Linked DNA regions of Xenopus tropicalis. The protein of the gene in region 1 purifies or fractionates together with the protein of each later gene. This does not show direct contact. Links are inferred from orthologs where the notes say so. Each region holds a gene or a part of one and is shown on either strand. Other genes may lie near its edges.

Region 1 (4,589 bases):
TCCAAATACACATACAAAACACTTACAAAAAGATATCTAAGTTTTCTTGTACTCAAAGGGGAGATGCTTGTAGAAATGTGAATTAAGAATGGCTAGTTATAAATCTTGTTCTGTAACTCACCTTTGTTAAAATCATAAATAAACATCTTTTTAAAAAAAGAATACAAAGAAATAGCACTCCAGGTCCATAACGAGGCTGGTGCAAGTCCTGCTTCCAGGAATGTTGCCCAGCTGCCAAAGTACCCCTGTCACAAGATCACAAGAATAAGAAGACATTTTCAATGCATTCAAAATTGGACCTTCTTGGGTACCCTGTGGAGAAAGCTTTGCAACAAAGTATTCACTCTACTATGAAGTTGATGAAAATCCTGCCATAGGCAACTCTTCATCTTTTTTTTAAAAAAAAAAGAGGCTATCTTTTTCTTTTCAGCAGCTCAGTGATTCTTTGTGCATAAAATAACTATGGATGCTTCCTTTAGAATATATTTAATTACAATGCATTTAATCAGATATAAACTCTGACTGAAAAACACATTTAAAAATTTAGCACAGGGATCCTCAACCTACGGCTCGCGGGCCAGATCCAGCCCCAAGTTAATTTACCCGGCCCCTGCTGCCTTTCTCACCCCTGGCTACTACCTGTCTGCAGAAGCAGTGGGGAGCAGGGAGCAGGAGGGCACAGCAGGGAGTCAGATGGCGCAGTGGGGGAGCAGGAAGCTGGAGGGCACAGCGGGGAGCCAGAGGGCACAGCGGGGGAGCAGGGAGCTGGAGGGCACAGCAGGGAGTCAGATGGCGCAGTGGGGGAGCAGGAAGCTGGAGGGCACAGCGGGGAGCCAGAGAGCACAGCGGGGGAGCAGGGAGCTGGAGGGCACAGCAGGGAGTCGGATGGCGCAGTGGGGAGTGGGGGAGCAGGGAGCCGGAGGGCGCAGTGGGGGGAGCAGGGAGCTGGAGGACGCAGCGGGAAGTGGGTGAACAGGGAGCTGGAGGATGCAGCAGGGAACTGGGAGCCGGAGGATGCAGTGGGGAGCAGGAAGCCAGAGGACACAGCGGGGAGCAGAGGAGCAGGGAGCTGGAGGACGCAGCGGGAAGTGGGTGAACAGGGAGCTGGAGGATGCAGCGGGGAACTGGGAGCCGGAGGACGCAGTGGGGAGCAGGAAGCCAGAGGACACAGCGGGGAGCAGAGGAGCAGGGAGCTGGAGGATGCAGCAGGGAGTGGGCCATAGTTTGAGGACGCAGGAGGCGTAGTTTGAGGACTACAGTCCGGCCCCCCCCAACAGTCTGAGGGACCATGAACTGGCCCCATGTTAAAAAAATTTGAGGACCCCTGATTTAGCACATGGACAAATTAACCATATGGGAAAGAGAGAAACTGCTTGAGCAAGGCAAAGCTAATAACTGCAGAGCATGGCCTCTTGCTAATATAGAGATCATCTATAAGACTTTCCATTTGGTGTCACTTTAAACCATGTTGTAATAATTATGCAAGCCACTAGAGGGTGCCTGTTACTCTCTTTTACAGCCTTACAGACTGCTTCTTTTCCTTTTACTGTCTGTGTTTTCACGTCTGTTTCCTTCTTCCCCACCCCACAGATATATTATCCCCTAAATGAGGCCCCAAACAATTTAGGATTTTTTTTTTTTTTTTTAAAGATCTGTTATACCCTGCCTGGCGTGACTTCCTCTTTGCTGAATCCGGGTACAGCAGACAAAAAAAGACGATTCACTAAAACATAGGCCTTGCAGGATCCTCTGTCTGGAGCAAGGCCTGGGAATTGTGGAAAAGGAAGGAAGCAAGCATGGCAGGGACTCTGACACAGGAGGAGGAGCAGGTAAAGCAGTCCCTGTGTGCGGGTGATTAGTCCTGCATATAGTGAGATGAAGAGCGACTTCTAGTCTTGTTTATTGTCACAATTATTCTGTATATGTAGTGCCATGAAATCAGGCATAAGACATAAGTGTTTATGTGAGTGTATATATGTATATATATATATATATAAATATATACACGTGTGTGTGTGTGTATACATACACGCATCTGGTCTTTTTTGTAGTATAAATATGAGTGTGTATGTGTGCACATATAAATTATAGAGCAACATTTCAGATAAACTGTTAATTTTTTCCCTCCTTAAAAATGTTTGCATTCCCCCTGTTTGCTTTTTTCATTATCTCCCTTTTAAGATCCCCTTTTCCTTCACTACCCTGTTCCCATAGGCCGATTTCTGTTTTACTTGTGTCTATTAATACCCATATGTCTCTGATTCCTCTTAGGCTACTAACAGGTTCCTGCAGGAGATGAATTTGTGGACAAGCTGCCACTCCGTGTCGCCTCTCTCATGGGACATCGCTGTTAAATTTCTGATGGCGAGAAAGTTTGATGTTGTGCGAGCAGTTGAACTCTTCCACTCATACAGAGTGAGATATGTGTGCAGATTAGCATTTCACAGTAACTGCCATCTTTCTATGTCCTTCATTCAAGCTTTTCCCTGTCTTCCAGTGGAGCAGCTCTCAGGCCCAGATTTGTGGCAAGGCCACAAAGGCCGGGGCCAGCTCTTTGCATGTAATGGGCCAGTTTGTAACACTGCCTGTTTAAGGGCCAGGTTATATTAAAATGATGATGTCATACTATTGAGGTCTTGGGGGCTCTTTAGAGGGCTATTAAAATCCGCAGGGCTTGTGGTAACCTTATGTTTTGCTTATTGTTTTTATCAGAATATATGTATTATATTCATAGTAATCAGGGCAAAATCTGCAAGCACAATTAAAACAAATTAGTGGTCCACTGAGAAACCTTTGTACAATAGGTATTTTCTTATCTTAGGGTCTAACAATGGCTTCATCTAGGGAAAGAGATGTAATATTTGCTTGTTTTGGAATACAACTCCCAACATCCTGCTGATAAATAAAAGGAGTAAGAGGGTACTAGAAGCTGTAGCTCAAGAGCACTTAGGACCCCCGTTTATAAGACAGTAACCCAAACACATCTAGATCTGAACTCCACAAGAGACTTAATTGCAGATTAAATCCTAGAAATGGGATGTAGCTGCACTTGCCCAACAATAATGTAGCTAAACAGACTGGTAAAGTGCTTGAATATTTTGGCATTTGACACAACTGAACTGACACACCTGCCTGCATTTTTATCTGACAAGATTAAGTTATTTCTCATTGATATACATTGATTGTTGGCTGTAGCTGCATAAAAAAAAGAAAGCATCTTATTGTATCTGATGAGATAACAGTACAGCAAACTGGATGAGATTCTGCAGCGTCCCACAAAATCTTGTGTTTGTGCACCCCTTAGCATTCTGCATTGCAATCCTGCCCATTGTACCTGTCTGTCATTATATAACTTCAAAATATCTGTTTAGAAAGCATATAGAAACGTAGAAGCATATAATTTAATTCTAGAAAAGAACCAGCTGATCCAGCTAGGCCAGCCAGCTATTTTTTCCCACAAATGTTTGAGTGGGCGGTACCCACAGCACCTACTATATATCAACATTACTATATATTTATCAACATTATATAATTATTATCTGTTATTATAAGTTCCTGGTCTCCTGTCTGTATCACCTTTATTTTCTGTCACTGTATAACATAAATGTTATGTTTGTGTTCCAGGAAACCCGACACAGAGAAGGGATAGTGCGGCTGAATCCTTTACAAGAGCCATTACTTTCTGAGTTGCTGAGTGGCAAGTTTACTGTGCTGGTGAGAGGTTAGGTGTCAGAAGGTTGTTCTATTTAATGCTTATAAAGTAATAACCAGTTGTTTGCATGTATATATTTATTTATATAGTGCTGCTTATGTACACAGCACTGTACAGCAGAACAATAAATTCATGGAACAAACAGAAATTAACTACAGAATACAGTTACATTAATGATTAGGAGCCAAGTATCAAAGAGACAGGAGGAAGAAGTTCCATAGAGCTTACAGTCTAAGGGATGACAAAAATACATGGACAAAGAACCTTTCACTGTAAAAAGCTAAGGATAATAGAACACACCAAGGAGTTTCTCAACTACCTAAAGGCAACTTATTCTATGCTCAGATGTTACAACTGGGGGTACTTTATTTCTTATAATACAGATGATTAACTGAGTCATGTGACACAACTTCGCTAAACACCACTTTTAATTGATGACATAACTAAGCACCATTTATTATTATATAATTTACAAGATGTTCAAGTTTCTTGTGTATTTTAATAACAAATAATCCTAGGCACAGGATGAGTGGAAGTGATATATGTAAGTGTCATATATATTTTACAGATGAACTCACATAAATGGCAGTCTTATAATTGTAGCAGGAAGCAGTGCTTCATTCCATCAAATTGAATCTATTGACAGCATACTGAACTAATCATTGGGAGGGCAGGGGTCATGGATTAAAGTCCTGGAATAATGAGCTTTAGGGATAGGTCAAAGTGCATGTGACTGGTCATCCACTGTTTTGTTCCAGAGTGTCAGAGCCCCAACTGGAGCCTCCATTGCAATCTTCACCGCTAAACTACACCATCCAGCCCGCAGAAACAGCAGGCAAGCACAACACACTGTACTTCAAGCTCTCTTTTATCTACT
Region 2 (3,822 bases), on another chromosome or scaffold:
TAGGTCAGTTATTGGTGCAGGGTAGAATAGCTTTTTTACTCAAAAAAGTTTAGTGTTACTTTTCCTTTAACCTTTGTACTAACCCACACTTTTTTTTTCTTTTTATCTGAAAAATAGATGGATTTTAATGTAGGCTTGGGGAGGCTTATAAGTCCTTTGTTAATTTACCTAAACTTGTCTGCAATATAATGCTGTACAAGGGATGTGAGGAAGGTTGCAGATTAAAATCTTACATCAGCATGGCATTAGCAGGGCTCTGTGCGGAAAGGAGGGTTGAGATGTGAAGGGGGTGCAAGAGTACGGCAATAACAAGCCTCAATATACTCCACCTTTAGGCCAAGTTCAATCTTACTTAGTCCCCGGTCATACTCTGTTTCTTTTCCCTGTCTTCCTTCCTAGTGTAAAATTAGCCCACACGGAGCTGAAATGACTGAGGGAAAGCATTGCAGAGAGCAGGAGAAGTTTTGGAGTATAACTTATTAATAAAACAAGCATATAGATATTCATTTATATAAAGCTTGTCTTTATATTCACATGTTATATGTGAGCTGTAGATTTGTTTGCAAAGTTTTACATAGCTGTAATAGATTTTTATGAAACTATCTAAAAAGATCCAGTGCAGGTAAACAGGTAAAAAACATTTGTCTGTATGAGGCCTTAGTCTAGTGTGGTGATTGTTATTGCATATTAACATTTTTAGCCTTCCTGAACAAAAAAATCACTATCCGCCTATGGCAGGCATGTGATCGAATTAGCTAGAGACTCCATGTGGGCTCTGCTCTACCACTATTTAAAACCATGCATGTTCATTTAAATAAAAATGTTACAAAAAATGAGTATAAAATGTATAAATGCATACTTTTTCACTATTAAACATTTAACTGCTGTTACTGGACTGAAGGGTATTCCAAAAGCTGACAAATCTGACCACTCCTATGGTACAAAATGTCTGTGAAAAGTAAGATAGAGTATCAATGTATAGAAAAATCTATCTGAACGCATTTAAAATGTGCTTTGTTCTTTGCAGATTGAGCAAAGTGGAGAAATCCCACCATCTTGCTGCAACTTTCCCGTTGCTGTGTGCAGAGACAAAATGTTTGTCTTTTCTGGGCAGAGTGGGGCCAAGATCACAAATAACCTGTTCCAGTTTGAATTCTCAGAAAAAGTGTAAGGCAATGCTTTTGTTTTGTTTTGTCTTTTGTTAGTACTTCGCACTTGTTTATTTTCCATCTCAACCCTAAGTCCTAATTTAAACTGAACTTCACATTGGCTCTCTAGGTAATTCTGTAGTGTTTGATTTGCTTATGACTTATCATCAAAGCTGACAATAATGAATACAAATGCGTGATTATATTTTTGTCCTTCAGATGGACACGCATTCCAACTGAGCATTTGTTACGTGGGTCACCACCACCCCCCCAGAGACGTTATGGACACACTATGGTGGCTTTTGACCGTCATCTTTATGTGTTTGGAGGTGCAGCAGACAATACCTTGCCTAATGAGCTGCATTGTTATGATGTGGACTCTCAGTCGTGGGAGGTGATCCAAGCCAGCCCAGACAGTGAGGTGATGTACAGTACATGGACTCTTGTGACATTATATTATATATATATATATAATTATATATATATTTATAATGCTATAATAATATATTATATTATAGCATTATATTGATAGGCTACAGTTGTATACTCTGTCCCTAACATGACAAAATGGCTGCCTTATACACTTCAGCCATTCAGTGGCTTGCATATAGCACTGCAAAGAAAATGCACACAATTGGCTGTTAGATTTAATGAAAAAAAGCAGATATGGTGAGTAAGAGAAGAGGAGTGAGATATATGCTTTACGTCTTTTTCACTCTCTGACATTGTGACAAACATATACTTCAGTGTAGATATGATGGTGTTCATAATAGTTATATATGATGTTAGTGTATGTCTATAAGTGTTGAAATGCAGAGAAATGTGTCACAAAGTTATTAATTTCTATCATGCTAAACACAATAAAAAGTTAGTATGTCATCTAGATGCTAAAAAATGTTTTAATGCATTTTAGTTACCTAGCGGACGTCTGTTTCATGCTGCAGCTGTTATTGCTGATGCCATGTACATCTTTGGTGGGACAGTTGACAATAATGTCAGGAGTGGAGAGATGTACCGCTTTCAGGTAAACACTTTTATAATATCTGTATATCATTTATGCTTTCATGCTTATAGGCCTTATATGGGACTGGGGAGGTTAACGTCAGTGAATATGAAATGGACAAGCTAAAAATAAAAAAAATACAGTCATGCAAAATATCCATTCTAATCCATTTTTATTCCCACCTAGTTCTCTTGTTACCCAAAGTGCACTTTACATGAAGATTACGGAAGACTGTTTGAGAATCAGCAGTTCTGTGATGTTGAATTTATTCTCGGAGAAGTGAGTACCTGCACCTTGATCTCCCTACATGGATCTTCTTAAAGGAACAGTAACACCAAAAAAATGAAAGAGCTTTAAAGTAATAAAAATATAATGCACTGTTGCCCTGCACTGGTAAAACTGGTGTATTTGCTACAGTAACACTACTATAAGTTATATAATAAGCTGCTGTGTAGCCATGGGGGCAGCCATTCAGGCTGGAAAAAAGGAGAAAAGGCACAGGTTACATAGCAAATAACAGATAAGTTCTGTAGAATATAATAGTGTTTTATCTGTTATCTGCTATGTGCCTGTGCCTTTTCTCCTTAGAATGGCTGCCTCCATGGCTACATATCAGCTTATTTATATAAATTATAGTAGACTTTCTGAAGTAAACACACAACTTTTACCAGTGCAGGGCAGCAGCACATTATATTTTAGTTACTTTTATACACTTTCATTTTTTGGTATTACTGTTCCTTTAAAAGAGAAGGAAAGGCTAATCTCAAGCTACAGGCATACCTTCAGTTCTCTCAATAGTGCCCTTAAGTCTCCCCATATTTCACCTGTTCAGATGATCAGAAGCATCATAGGAAAAAAAAACCTCTAAGCTCTGTAAAGAAAATTTCCCATAATGCCACGCTCCTGCACCAAGACCCCTGTAAATGCGCCGTTTGTACGACTATGAGAAAGTTTCCTGCTGATTGGCTCAGATCACACATTCCTAAGGGGTGGAGGGAGTTCTTAGCATTCTTGTGGGAGGGGGGAGCAGGAGAGAGCTGAACAGACTCTGGCACAGAAAAAAAGGATACAAGAACTCCTATGTTTCTTTTGATAGAGGACTCAGTGCAGCATTCTCTGAGTGCTTATGGCTGTGTTTACATAGATAGTTTTTACCTTTCCTTCTCCTTTAAAAAAACAATTCATTCATGCATGCTCACTGATTCAGTATGAATGGCATCTTGTATGATTCATGCCCATATATAGGTATTTATTTGCTATTTCCCAGCCAGATGACAGTGTCCTATAAAGAGGTCTGTAGAGCCCATAGCTTGTAGCACCCTAGGCCATTACATAAAATTACACTATGTAATGTTTGGAACTTTGCCGTTTCATATACACCGTATCCCAGCATAAATGATAAGCTTGCAAGATGATGAAACAAAAATAGCATTAGATCTATAAACATTTTCTTTTAATGGTACCATGCTTCCAGCGGACTTCTCCTTAACACTTGCAGAAAGTTCAGCTAATGGCTGGGCTTGTGTCTATTTCATATGAGTAAAGGCAATTATTGAAAATGTATTGGACAATAATATGTCTGATGTTTCAAACATAATTAATGGCATACCATATGACTATTTCAATATAAGGACTTTAGCTAAATGACATAAAAGTGGTCACATGTACAAT

The links.
Region 2: the proteins of ptpn9 (region 1) and lztr1 purify together in Homo sapiens (affinity purification with mass spectrometry; 3 studies listed by BioGRID and IntAct, with this or other methods). This does not show direct contact. The link is inferred for Xenopus tropicalis from reciprocal best matches to the Homo sapiens genes PTPN9 and LZTR1.

Annotation. Positions count from the first base shown.
Region 1 is NC_030679.2:93,340,226-93,344,814, forward strand, and holds the start of ptpn9 (tyrosine-protein phosphatase non-receptor type 9), read left to right. Parts: upstream 1-1,754; 5' UTR 1,755-1,796; coding exon 1,797-1,829; intron 1,830-2,271; coding exon 2,272-2,415; intron 2,416-3,624; coding exon 3,625-3,714; intron 3,715-4,470; coding exon 4,471-4,589. UniProt on the Homo sapiens protein: Protein-tyrosine phosphatase that could participate in the transfer of hydrophobic ligands or in functions of the Golgi apparatus.
Region 2 is NC_030677.2:166,685,544-166,689,365, reverse strand, and holds part of lztr1 (leucine-zipper-like transcriptional regulator 1), read left to right. Parts: intron 1-1,027; coding exon 1,028-1,167; intron 1,168-1,367; coding exon 1,368-1,569; intron 1,570-2,061; coding exon 2,062-2,172; intron 2,173-2,337; coding exon 2,338-2,430; intron 2,431-3,822. UniProt on the Homo sapiens protein: Substrate-specific adapter of a BCR (BTB-CUL3-RBX1) E3 ubiquitin-protein ligase complex that mediates ubiquitination of Ras (K-Ras/KRAS, N-Ras/NRAS and H-Ras/HRAS).